Oryzias latipes: one gene and its partners. The protein of the gene in region 1 interacts with the protein of each later gene in a biochemical or structural test. Links are inferred from orthologs where the notes say so. Each region holds a gene or a part of one and is shown in the gene's direction. Other genes may lie near its edges.

Region 1 (3,636 bases):
GGTACTGCATCTTTGACCTGGCTACAGGCAAAGCAGAGCAGGAGAATAACTTTCCCACCAGCAATCTCGCCTTCCTGGGACAAAGTGAGCGCAATGTGGCCATCTCCACTGCAGGACAGGTTAACAGTTCTTCATTTCTAACAGTCAAACACGATGTTTACCTAAAAGCGGTGCGAGTTAGCGTAAATGTTTGCTTCATTTTCTTCTTAGGAGTCTCCCATTGTTCTTCGGGACGGAAATGGCACGATTTATCCCATGGCTAAAGATTGCATGGGTGGAATTCGAGATCCTGACTGGTTGGACCTCCCTCCCATTAGCTGTCTGGGAATGGGGGTTCACTCCTTGGCCAATCTGCCATCTAACTCCACCATAAAGAAAAAGGCTGCTGTTATTATCATGGCAGTTGAGGTAAAAGACCAGATTCAGTCTTTTCTGTGACGAAGAACGAGTTTGTAATTGTGATTGCTGGTTTAATCTTTTCAGAAGCAGACCCTGATGCAGCATGTGCTGCGGTGCGACTACGAAGCTTGTCGGCAGTACTTGGTCAACCTTGAGCAGGCCGTCCTCTTGGATCAGGGGGGCCAAGCCCTGGAGGCACTTCTGGGCCACCGCTGTGATGGGAACCGTAACATCCTCCATGCTGCTGTCTCTGTCTGTTTCCCTGTTAGTAACAAGGAGACCAAAGAAGAGGAAGGTAAATACTTGAATGTTGAACCTCTTCAGACCATTTGGGGTTATATTACCACAGTAGTTAACTCTGCTCAACTGGGGCTCTTTCAAAGAGAAATTAAAACAAAGGCATGTCAATCAGGATTCCGGGTCTTAAGAGGTGAATCTACTGCAGAAGATGTGATGCAGTTGTTTCCTTTTCTCGTTCAACTGGAGTTCTGAGTCATCAAATTGTTTTTCAGAAGCTGAAAGGTCTGAAAGAAACACTTTTGCGGAGCGTCTGTCTGCTGTAGAAGCCATCGCCAACGCCATCTCTGTGGTCTCGAGCAATAGCTCTGGAAACAGGACGGGTTCCTCCAGCAGCAGAGGGTACGTAAACAAGTCGTGTGCTGTCGAGTGAAGATGGAAGATGTATTTCTGTGCATCAGCTTGATTCATAGAAGAAAACTAAAAAGAGGCGTCATTTTGAAAACAGGCTTCGACTGAGGGAGATGATGCGGCGGTCTCTGAGGGCGGCAGGTCTCGGCCGCCATGAGTCTGGTCCGTCATCCAGTGACCATCAGGACCCTGTCTCCCCACCCATTGCTCCACCAAGCTGGGTCCCTGACCCTCCACCCATGGACCCCGGTGTGTGGGTTTTACCTTGATAGTTTCAGATCACGGTGACGGTTTTGGTAACGACCGTCCTGTTTTCTGTTCAACAGACGGTGACATTGACTTCATTCTGGCTCCTGCTGTTGGCTCACTCACCACGGCCTCCACTGGAACCAGCCAGGGGCCCAGCACCTCCACCATAGCAGGTACGGGATGTTTCTAGCTAGAAAGTAGTCAAAGAAAACTGAAAACTTCATTTCATTCCTTATGAAAAAAGCTGCATGTTTTTGCCGTTTGGGTTTTGAACTGCTTTTGTTGTCTGTCCAGGACCATCAACTGAGCAGTCTGTGGTGGAGTCCAAAGACAGGAAGGCCAATGCCCACCTCATCCTGAAGCTGATGTGCGACAGTGTTGTTCTGAGGCCACATCTGCAGGAGCTGCTCTCTGCAAAGTACAGTTCTGTTCTTCATTAGAAACAGAAAGATGGGAAGTTACAGGAAAAGAAGGAGAGCAGTGAATAAGATTGGGGATTTAGTGAAAAAAAAAGCATAGAATGATAAAAAAAAATGTGCAAAACACTGTGGAGTGGTGAGTTTATTCCTGTGAAGTGTTGTACAGTCTAAGGGGAGAAATGAATGTTTGGCTGAAGGAGCCTCTCTGGGTCTCCATGGTGTGGTGTGTGTGTGTTATCTCTTATCAGGGTTAGCTTGGCTAACACCCTACTGTCTGCCACCTCCTCAGTGGAGCTCAGGCAGCAGCCCAGCTCACAGCCAGCTAGCAGTGCCTCTGATGTGCTTTTTCTACCGTTTGACAGGGATGCCAGAGGAATGACTCCGTTCATGTTGGCTGTTAGCGGGAGAGCCTATCCTGCAGCTATCACGGTGCTGGAGGCGGCACAGAAAATAGCCAAAGGTGAGCTCATGGCTGTGAACCTGTGAACATCCACTGGTATGCAGTATGCATACCAGTGGATGTTTGTGATGCACTTTTCTGCCCTGTTTCTAGCAGCTAGCTCAGTGGTCTCCAACCTTTTTCAGGCCACGAATCGGTTTAATGTCGGACGATATTTTCCCGGACCGGTCTGAACGACGCAGAAGTGGGAACTATGTTTTTTTTTTTAAACTTCCTTGTTTCCATTTACTTTTGAGGGTAAAGTTGATCCTCTGTAAATTGTCAACATCTGCTTTAAGCTTGATTTGTTCACTAGATTTAATGCAGGAACCATTGAAATCAGACAGAGCAGCCTTCAGCCTCGGCCAACTTGTCAGGTGTGACGGATAAATACTAAAAAAGGCGGAGTGGAGCGGGGATCTTAAGGCCTGCCCAGCATATTTTCTACGTCACAAATGAACTTTTTTTTTTCTGTTACTGATTTATCAATGATTTGAATAGAGAAATACTCAGAAATGTACTTTTGAGCTTATTTTTCTTTACACAAGTCCTCCATCATCCAAAAAAGGAACTTTTTCTTTTCGGCCTGGAGGTTGGGGACCACTGATGTAAAGGACGTTGGTTTTTCTTCATCATCGGTCTGGTGTTTCCGCCTTGTTTGACTCTCTCCTCCACACGTCACAGTGGGTGACCCGGCCATTGGAGATAAGGACGGGGCCGATTCTGTGTTCATGGAAATGATCTGCCCATCGGGTACCAACCCAGATGATTCTCCACTGTACGTTCTCTGCTGCAACGACACCTGCAGTTTCACTTGGACTGGAGCCGAGCACATTAACCAGGTCGCTCCTCGTCTTTTAGCTCCACAAAGTCTTGCATTTTTAATTTGTGCCGTTTTCCACTGAAACTGACCCACTGACATTTTCCTTGACCCCGATTTTGTATTCAGGACATATTTGAGTGTCGAACGTGTGGCCTGCTGGAGTCCCTCTGCTGCTGCACGGAGTGTGCAAGAGTGTGCCACAAAGGACATGACTGCAAGTGAGTCCTAGATTTGTCGTTGCCCCTGTTCTGTCTTATTTATAGCTGCCTTTAGTCTCCATCAGCAGGCTATAAATTGTTTTGTCCTAAATATTTTATTTACCTTCTCGTAAGGTTGAAAAGGACCTCACCTACAGCCTACTGTGACTGTTGGGAGAAATGTAAATGTAAAACACTAATTGCTGGACAGAAGGCCGCTCGCTTGGATTTGCTGTACAGGTTGCTCACGACGACGAACCTGGTCACAACTCCAAACAGCAGGTGAGACTTCTTCACTTCCAAATTCATTTCAGCATGAAAGCATCGGCTTTATTCGGGGCTTGTCATTTCCAGTGAGCGTTTCTTAACTTAAGCATGTAAAGCATGGATCATCAGTCCGACTGGTTTCCTCCTCCAGGGGGGAGCATATATTACTGTTCCTGGTCCAGACTGTGGCCAGAC
Region 2 (4,115 bases), on another chromosome or scaffold:
AAACACTTTTTCCAAAAAAAATTTAATTTTAGCACAGTTCCAAAAAAGATAGTTAATTGTTTCTCGTTGTGTTTTGCAAAAAGTACAGTTAGGGTCAATTGTTTTGATGTATCTTAGCATGAGTTGATTGGTGGGGTAAATTTTGTGAATTATTTTATTATTTATCATAACTTTTTGGGTCAAACTCCAGCCTTTCCTCCAAATGCTGTCAGGAACAAACCAGCTGCAGTAGTTTTTGGTACAGAAATGACATCCCAGGCACGTATTTTGTTGTTGTTGTTGTTCTTGTGTGTATAGTAAAACAGATTTTTCCTGTGGTGGTGTCAGTTGCATCCATAGAGGGCATTTCTTCATTCCTAACAGCTGTTTTAAACATTTGACATATTTCTTTGGAAACAGCATCAAACACGATGGCATATTCTTTAGGAGTCACAACCAGATTGTATTTAGAATTGAATTTAGTATACTTTAATAAAGATTTGTTCTTGTGTAATATATATTTGTTGTTCCAAATAAAACATTTATGGGGAGAGAAATTGTGTTTGTATAAAAGTGTCCATGCGAAAAGATCCTGTTTGTGACCGCCTAAATCTGAACATATAAAATGTGGAATTATATTCCACATTGATACAGAATCCGGTAAATTTCCACCGGAAATGCACTATCATGACTTCAATGATGCATTCAGGTAAGCTCTGGAATTAGCCCTTCCAACCCAGTGAAAGCATTTCTACACCGTGTGAAGTAGTTTCAGTATGAAGCACTCTCAGTACTATTCTAAATGCCCCATAGTGACATTTTATCCACAACTGTGTTATTTCTTTAGACAGCACCAGAATCTCCCAAAGCCTCATTTCTTAAATCAGCAGTCTCATCTGCCTTTGTTTAAAATGTTTAAGAAAAATATGCGAAGGACTTAAATCTTTAAGATAATATTTGTAATAATACAATTCTACAATTTATACTTATAATGGAAACACTTTATAACAGATGTGTTTCTGCCAATTCTTTAGACTTATTTTTCGTTTTTTCTTAGTTACACTTAATTTTTACCGTTATATTTTAGTGTGGTTCGTGTTGGTTAAAAGCTGTTGTTTACTGGTCCTCGTGGTTCTCGCGGGAGAATGTAAACTCACAGCTTGGCTGCTGTAAACAGATCGTAAACCTGAAGCTGCAGAAGCTCTGCCTCTGTTGTTTACATTTTCTTCCGTCAACGTGCGGACCCAGAACGCAGCACGGAGCTCAACCAATCAGAAATTAGTGCAGAGTGACGCGTGTCATGTAAACAAACAAGGGCCGCGCGGCCATTACAGATCGAGCCTCTGTTTTCTGCCGTCGATCAAATAACCTGCGCAGGTAATTTAACTCCTCAAAACGTCGTCGGCCGCATCTCTGCCGCCTTTCCGTGAATTTGTCCACGCTCCTGTGAGACCGTGGAGCCGCGTGGTATCGCGGTAATCGTCGTGTTTTTTTTAGTTTTCGAGGCGGTGCTGGCCATGATCACGTCATAAGTGTCTGCTGCACGCAGCTTAACGGTCTCCACCTTCCACAGACCCCCACCCCCGGACCTGTAGACATGAAGGACCCGAGCTTCGGCACCACGACCCACAGCCTGACCTCGGGCAGTGACGTCATACTGAGCAGCCAGTTCAGCCCCGATGAGGAGCCTTTCGCGGAGTACCTGTGGATGGAGCACGAGGAGGAGTTTAATCGGCAGGTGAGGTGCAGGGGGGCGTGATCCTGATGTGGCCTACACGTCTCATCCTGAGGAGCTTAGAAATGGGTAAAATGAAGCCTCGTGAAGCGTTTGAAGCTTCATTTGCTCCACCATACCACCTGTTGGGCAGAAGGGGTTAATGGGTCAGTCCATTGGGCTGGTTAAAGCAGGGGTCCTTAACTCTGCTGGGTTGGGGACCCCTTATGTCTCTGCCATCTCTGTGGAACAACCCACTACTGTCTGAGTCAAACCATTTCTGATAGATATTTCTGTTAATATAGACTCAAATACACAACAACACACAGCAATTAGAGTGTTCTAAAGCCATCATAGACTTTTCTGAAGTAAGAAACTAGATGAACTGGATCTATTTCTGTTGAGATTGAACAAGATTCATGTATTTTCATTTGTTTAGTGTGAGTGAACTAGAGGAATCTTGGAGGTAAACGTCTTTAATGAACAACTCTCGGGTAAATAACACTAAAGAAAACGCAGAACAATACTGGTAAACCTCTGTGGAGGAACAGGACCTTCTGCATCACCTGTCCTCTGGGTTTAAAGTCCGGACCTGTAGACTCAACCTGAGGCCTGATCTGAGCAGCTTCACCTTCATGGGAGCTGGAGGGCTGTTTGCACAACTCAGTCATCAAAGATGGAGACAATGTGATGCTTTTCGTTTTGGTAAAACACCCAAGTCACATGACCGGGAGACAAAACACAGTTCTGTTTAGGGAATTCCCAATCCAATCACGCAGTTTCAGAATCGCATGTTGTATCCCGACCGGGGTGAGATATTTATTTTATTCTTATTATGAAGCATTCTTGTCATAGAACCAACGTTATCTATTTGAAGTCTATTCATGCAGGTAAATACTCTACACCAGAAGTCTGCATATCATGAACAGATCATGGGATTCTATCGCAGCAGAATACGGCAGTGGTTTGAGCAGGAGGCGCCCAAGAACAGTTTGGTAAAGTTAGCACAGATGTGGACTTCCGGGCTCAATGACGCCTTTAGTAAAGGTTTTAAAATGACGGCAGGTGTCTCTTGCATTCTGCACACAATGACCTTCACATGCATTTCAGATGAGAATGTCTTTCTCTGTGCGGCAGACGGGCAGAAGGTTTACAAAGTGATTTCAATAAAAAGTATTCCATAATCTCTCAAAAACAGCCAGAACTAATAAATGGCTGCATTGATAGGAGTTATTCATAAAAACTCATCATAATATTTATGCTTCAACAACAGTTTGGGAAAAAGTACTTCATTTATTGTCCTTCTTTTTTTATGTGGATTTCAGTCACTTCTGATCAAAAATAGTTCTGAAGATCCTAAAGCCACAGTCACCGACCGGGGAAAACCTGGATCTGTCTTCATTTCTTCATGTGTAACAGAAGTCTTGGACCAGGACTTGGTATCGGCAGACACTCGGGATAAAAACACGTGCCAAAAAAACGCATTGGGACTTTCCACCTCCGGACACGAGTGACACCGTGGACTTTCAGAGACGAGTGGATAAGCTGTGTTTTTCTGCACCTGTGTGCAGGTGGAGGAGGAGCTGTGGGAGGAGGAGTTCATCGAGTGCTGCTTCCAGGAGATGCTGGAGGAGGAGGAGCAGTGGGAGTGGTTCATCCCGTCCAGAGACCTTCCCGCCACCAGCGTTAGCCAGCTGCAGGAGCAGATCGGCCTGCTTGTCCTCGACGTGGACGTCCACCCCAACGCCGACATCCTGGACTCAGTGGTGAGTTCAGCCCATCAGGAACCAGAACATCTGTTTGACCTTTGATTCCCGCCTCCTAAGCCTAAAGCTGTTCTGTGCTCCCTCGTCAGAAAAGCAGCATTCTAAACCCCAACGCCAAGGAGTTCACCCCGGGCATCCAGAAGCATGCCATGTGACCCAGCGGGGCTCCGCCTCCTCCCCTTAGTCCGCACTGGGATGTCACGTAGATGTCTGCTGTTTTTTTCAAGCCGTCACTCGAACCTTTAGCTGATGTGTTGCCAAAGTTCAGCGCTCGACTCGCACGTGTTCAAGTTCACTACGTTGTTCCCGCCCACCTGTTTCCCCCCTCCCACTTGTTTGTGCTCTGAATGTAAATCAGCTGAGAGGAGCGTCACTTTTCTCTGGGGAACCAGAACTCCGGCTGCGTTCTGTCAGATCTCCTGTAGGTGCTGCCCCACCCTCCGAGCACTTTCTGCTCCACTTTCACTTTGACACGCCACTTTGGATTCTGATCCGGTTTAGTCCAGCTTAACTAGCAGTTTGGGCGTGTCACTTATTATGAGTTTTTTGGCTGTTTTCCCAGCATCCTTTGTGTTCGGCTTTTGCTTGCTATCGCTCGCTGCCTCATGTATTATCGTTGTTTTTTCTAAACGCACAGAAAGTACTGTATAAAAAGT
Region 3 (4,291 bases), on another chromosome or scaffold:
TTCCTTTTTTTCTGTTTATTCCCTTTCGGGGTCACGGGGCTGCTGGAGCGTATCCCGGCTAATTGTGGGTGAAGGCAAGGGGCACCCTGGACAGGTCGCCAGTCTGTTGCAGGGTAGAGTGTCCACAATCACACACCCACACACTCTCACATTCAGACCTAGGGACAATTTAGAGTGACCAATGAACCTATGAAGCACGTTTTAGGACGGTGGGAGGAAGTCGGAGTCCCCGGAGAAAACCCACGCATGCACGGGGAGAACATGCAAACTCCACACAGAAAGGTCCCCCTTTGGTGTTTTGGTTCCCCCAGAGGGCACTTACCACTGGGGGCTGTGCCACCGTGCAGCAAACGTGGTGTTCTCATGTTTGCTTAATGTCCTTCTCCACAATTCATTGCCTCTAACAGTCAAGCTGGCTGCCTCCAGAATCCTATTTCTAGTCTAGATCTCTTCTTCAGCTGAATGATCTGTCTGATCTCCATGTTCAGAGACAGTCACCACAAAGACGTGTGATGACAGCTGCAGTAGTCCACCTCAATGAAGCAGCCATGAAACAAGACACACTTGGACTGACTCATCTTACATCATCTCTGCTGAACACTGGGAGGGGACATACCCCCCCCCCCCCCCCCCACTGACCCTTGACCGCTCACATGGCAGCCTCTCCCCCTTTTGACTATGAAAAAAACATCTCAAGACATCCAAGTTTCTCTTAAGAAAAGTGATAATTACAACAATAACTCATAAGTGTCGGTCTGCTGCTCCAATTAAATATTCCCTTTAACAGCAGCTGATGGGAACGGAGTTCTATCTAAAAGTATAAAAATCAACCACAATCTCAGAAACTATCTGGAAAAAACAAAAAAGTGCAGAAACTATGCAAGAAAATATGAAAAAAATGTAGCTATGACATAACAGTTCTATTTTTTTTACTAAATTAAAGTGAAAACTATAACTTTCAACCCATTAAAAGAACAAATTACCCTACAATTTTAGGTAAAATTAAAAGGTTATGAGACAACAATGTTTAAGTGAGGGTACATATCTGATACTAATGAGAATTTATGTTTTGATGTGAAAGATAATATCTAGATGAATTTGTTCTCTCCGTGTAAACGGGGTTTTATGACCACGTGACGTCGAAAGTGCCCTCGCAACCAGGAAGTGACGTCGCGGCGCCGTCAGGCTGTGTTGATGTTTTGGAGAACGGGAAGAGACACGATTTGTTTTTGTTGAACTCGCCGTCGAATAAAGCCCAGCGGCCGCTTCTTTGGCTCGTTTCGGTTCGCTAAGGCTCTTAGCTGACAGACTGCAGCCTAACGGCCGGTTCAGAGGGCGAGCAGGCCGACACTTTGAACTGAAAACGGGAGGACTCGCAGCTCTGACCCCCTCCCTGCTGCCTTCACGCTCACTCCACCATGACAATTCTACCGAAGAAGAAGCCCAGCTCCGGGGTTGGCGTCCCGGACCACGCCGATGACAGCGACCGGCGAAGCGGCTCCGACCCTCATCAACATCCGCACTCGCACGCGGGGCGAACCGGCGCCCGACCCAGGGCTTCACCTCCGCCGTGGTCATACCAGGGCGCTCCGCAGTCCTCTAGGGACGACAGGCGGAGCATCGAAGCGAGCTCCCGGCCGCAGCAGGCCTCTCCGCCGCCCGTCGGTTCTGTTTCTCCTGTAGGGCCGGGCGATGGCCGGGACGGCAGCGGCGGAATGGTGGCCGGCTCCCGTGGTGAGCTCGTCGTGTCAGCTGGCGTCGTCGGTTGCGGTGGAGGAATGGGGAGCTGCTGCTCCGGGCCTGGGCTCAGCAAGCGGCGGCGGCAGGCAGGCACCTGCTCCGGCGGAGTGGTAGCGGCTCTGGCTGGGGGAGGCCAGCCCGGGGTGACCGGACCAGGAAGCGTTGGGTCTAGCCAGGACACAGAGGACGGAGCTGGAAACAACAGCGAGGACGAGTATGAGAACGCGGCGCGGCTGCAGTCCCTGGACCCGGCCACCGTGGAGCAGGTAGGAGCTAGCAGCGATGCTAACGGGATGCTAACGCGGCTCCAGCGGGAATTCTGGAAGCGCTCAGGTCTGGAAAAGCGTTTATTGTGTTAGAAGGGAACAGGGTTGTTCACATCACCACCGTGCAAATATCACATTGTTCAGGCTAAAGTATCAACACTTTACAGGGGCATCAAGTTACCATAGCAACGCGTTCCACCTCCATCAACCTGCGGTTGGAAGGGGATCATTAACCAGGTGTTTGATTGGCAGATGTTTCTGAGAGCAGCTGCCACACAGCTGTGCTCTTGATTCAAACTTGCTCCTCAACTCATAAATGGATACGTTTGTTGGGATAAAGGATAAAAACCTTAATGTCTTTATTCACCCCAAAGGCACAGGTTGATATGTGGGGCGCCTCAGGGCTCTGACCTGGGTCTCACCTCCATCTCTATATGCTGCCATCAGACCACAGGCAGCATTATGCTGCTGGGTCTCCTGATCTAGTGGAACCCACTGATGGATGGCAGGGAACTTCCTGAATCTCAACCAGCACCGAACGGAAGTTTTAAGTGTTGGTCCTGAGGCTCAGAGGATCAGAACCAAGCAGCTCAGTGGCCGTATAACGTTAAAATCCCTCTCCCATCATCTTTAGATCTATTTTCAGTGTTCCCTGTGCTAACCACTCTTATGGCAGCCTCTCCTCCTTTTGACTATGGAAAAAACATCTCAAGACATCCTAGTTTCTCTAAAAAAAAGTCATTTATTAAAACAATAACTCTTAAGTGTCAGCCTGCTGCTCCAATTGAGTCTTCCCTTTAACAGCAGCTGAACAGATTACCAACTAAAGTATAAACATCAACCACAATCTCAGAAACTATCAGGACAAAACAAAAAAGTGCAGAAAGTATGCAAGAAAAATATAAAAAGATGAAACAAATGTGGCTATGTTATTACAGTTCTATTTTTTATACTCAAAATGAAATTTAAATTAAATTAAAGTTAAAACTATCACGTTAAAAAAACAAACCCTTCATCTATCAGTGATGAAAGTCTTCCGGGAATTCCCGGAAATCCGGGTTTTTGAGCAAACCGAACGTACTTTCCGGGAAATAAAGACCTGATCTCTACGGACAAATCGCTTTCCGGATTAGAAAATGGTCTGAAATCAGCTAATTTTAGCTTTATTTTCTATATTTCTCCGCAGATCGCTTCCTCTATGGTCGTGGCCATCTTTCGTCTTCCCGGCCTAATTGACCAATGACGGGACGTTTTAGTTGCTTTCGGATGCGTCGACGGGTCTGATTGGCTCTGTCTGCACCACGTGGTCAGCGTGACTCGCTTCCCTAGAGACCAAAACTGGCGGACCCACGCTAAATTTTCACAAACACATCTGAAGAGTTTGCGATCAAATTTCTGTTAAAATAATGGCAGGCATCGTCATTATTGAGCGTGGTCACGACCTCAGTTGTGAGAAGACGATAAAAAACAAATTGAAGTGGTCTTGGCTGGAAAAAAAAGATTTTTAAGGTAGTGTAGGTCAAATACTTTTTTGTGTAAAATAATCTCAAAACCACATTTTGAAATAATTTCAATTTTAGTTTTGAGTTTCAGTTTTTATTTTGAATACATTTCTTTATCTAATTTATTTGTATTTCCTAATTACCATGATTTAGTTCAGTATAGTTAACATTAATTATAAGTATTTGATGGTTTGGACCCGCACTCCCTTAAAAAATAATGTTTACAATGTTTAGTTTGTATGTTTGTTTTGATATTTCCCAGATTACTTAGTATTGGTGTTAAAGAATTGATGTATTATGTTATAGAATTATAGTTTAAAGCAGATCCCATATTTTGATGTAGTTATAGTTTGAGAAAACAGTGCAAGTGGATGTTGTACATCAGTCATTTCTAAAGCAGAAATAATGTATAAATAACTGAGGTATTTTCATAGAATATAATAGTTACTGGTGTTATTTTTGCCATTTGGGGCTTTGATGTTACTATATTTTAGCAATTGTATGTTTTGCAGCTTTAAGGAAAAGCGTAGATTGTAGGATTGTGTTACTTTGAGCAATTTTCCAAATTCTTTTTTAGGACCAGCAAGTCCTTAATGGAGAGTCAAACTAGGGGTTTGAATGACAAATCATGATGCTCCAATTAGTCTTAGTTTCTTGATAAAGAAGTGAATAACTAGTTGCCAGAATGCACCAGAATGCATCTAAGACCACGTATTTTTCCAAAATTTCGCTCTGTGCCCGCCATATCGCTCAAAGAAAAGTTCAGGGATTTTTTCCTTGCCT

The links. The genes of interacting proteins can lie anywhere in the genome.
Region 2: the proteins of ubr5 (region 1) and paip2 form a complex in vitro, tested with the Homo sapiens proteins (2 studies listed by BioGRID and IntAct, with this or other methods). The link is inferred for Oryzias latipes from reciprocal best matches to the Homo sapiens genes UBR5 and PAIP2.
Region 3: the proteins of ubr5 (region 1) and otud5 form a complex in vitro, tested with the Homo sapiens proteins (2 studies listed by BioGRID, with this or other methods). The link is inferred for Oryzias latipes from reciprocal best matches to the Homo sapiens genes UBR5 and OTUD5.

Annotation. Positions count from the first base shown.
Region 1 is NC_019874.2:6,543,318-6,546,953, reverse strand, and holds part of ubr5 (E3 ubiquitin-protein ligase UBR5), read left to right. Parts: coding exon 1-119; intron 120-210; coding exon 211-408; intron 409-483; coding exon 484-694; intron 695-911; coding exon 912-1,038; intron 1,039-1,144; coding exon 1,145-1,296; intron 1,297-1,373; coding exon 1,374-1,469; intron 1,470-1,590; coding exon 1,591-1,714; intron 1,715-2,077; coding exon 2,078-2,175; intron 2,176-2,838; coding exon 2,839-2,996; intron 2,997-3,103; coding exon 3,104-3,195; intron 3,196-3,309; coding exon 3,310-3,456; intron 3,457-3,592; coding exon 3,593-3,636. UniProt on the Homo sapiens protein: E3 ubiquitin-protein ligase involved in different protein quality control pathways in the cytoplasm and nucleus. Mainly acts as a ubiquitin chain elongator that extends pre-ubiquitinated substrates.
Region 2 is NC_019868.2:3,409,898-3,414,012, reverse strand, and holds the start of paip2 (polyadenylate-binding protein-interacting protein 2), read left to right. Parts: upstream 1-1,242; 5' UTR 1,243-1,356; intron 1,357-1,552; 5' UTR 1,553-1,576; coding exon 1,577-1,717; intron 1,718-3,264; coding exon 3,265-3,459; intron 3,460-3,548; coding exon 3,549-3,614; 3' UTR 3,615-4,115. UniProt on the Homo sapiens protein: Acts as a repressor in the regulation of translation initiation of poly(A)-containing mRNAs. Its inhibitory activity on translation is mediated via its action on PABPC1.
Region 3 is NC_019865.2:31,789,638-31,793,928, forward strand, and holds the start of otud5 (OTU domain-containing protein 5), read left to right. Parts: upstream 1-1,418; coding exon 1,419-2,006; intron 2,007-4,291. UniProt on the Homo sapiens protein: Deubiquitinating enzyme that functions as a negative regulator of the innate immune system. Has peptidase activity towards 'Lys-48'- and 'Lys-63'-linked polyubiquitin chains. Can also cleave 'Lys-11'-linked ubiquitin chains (in vitro).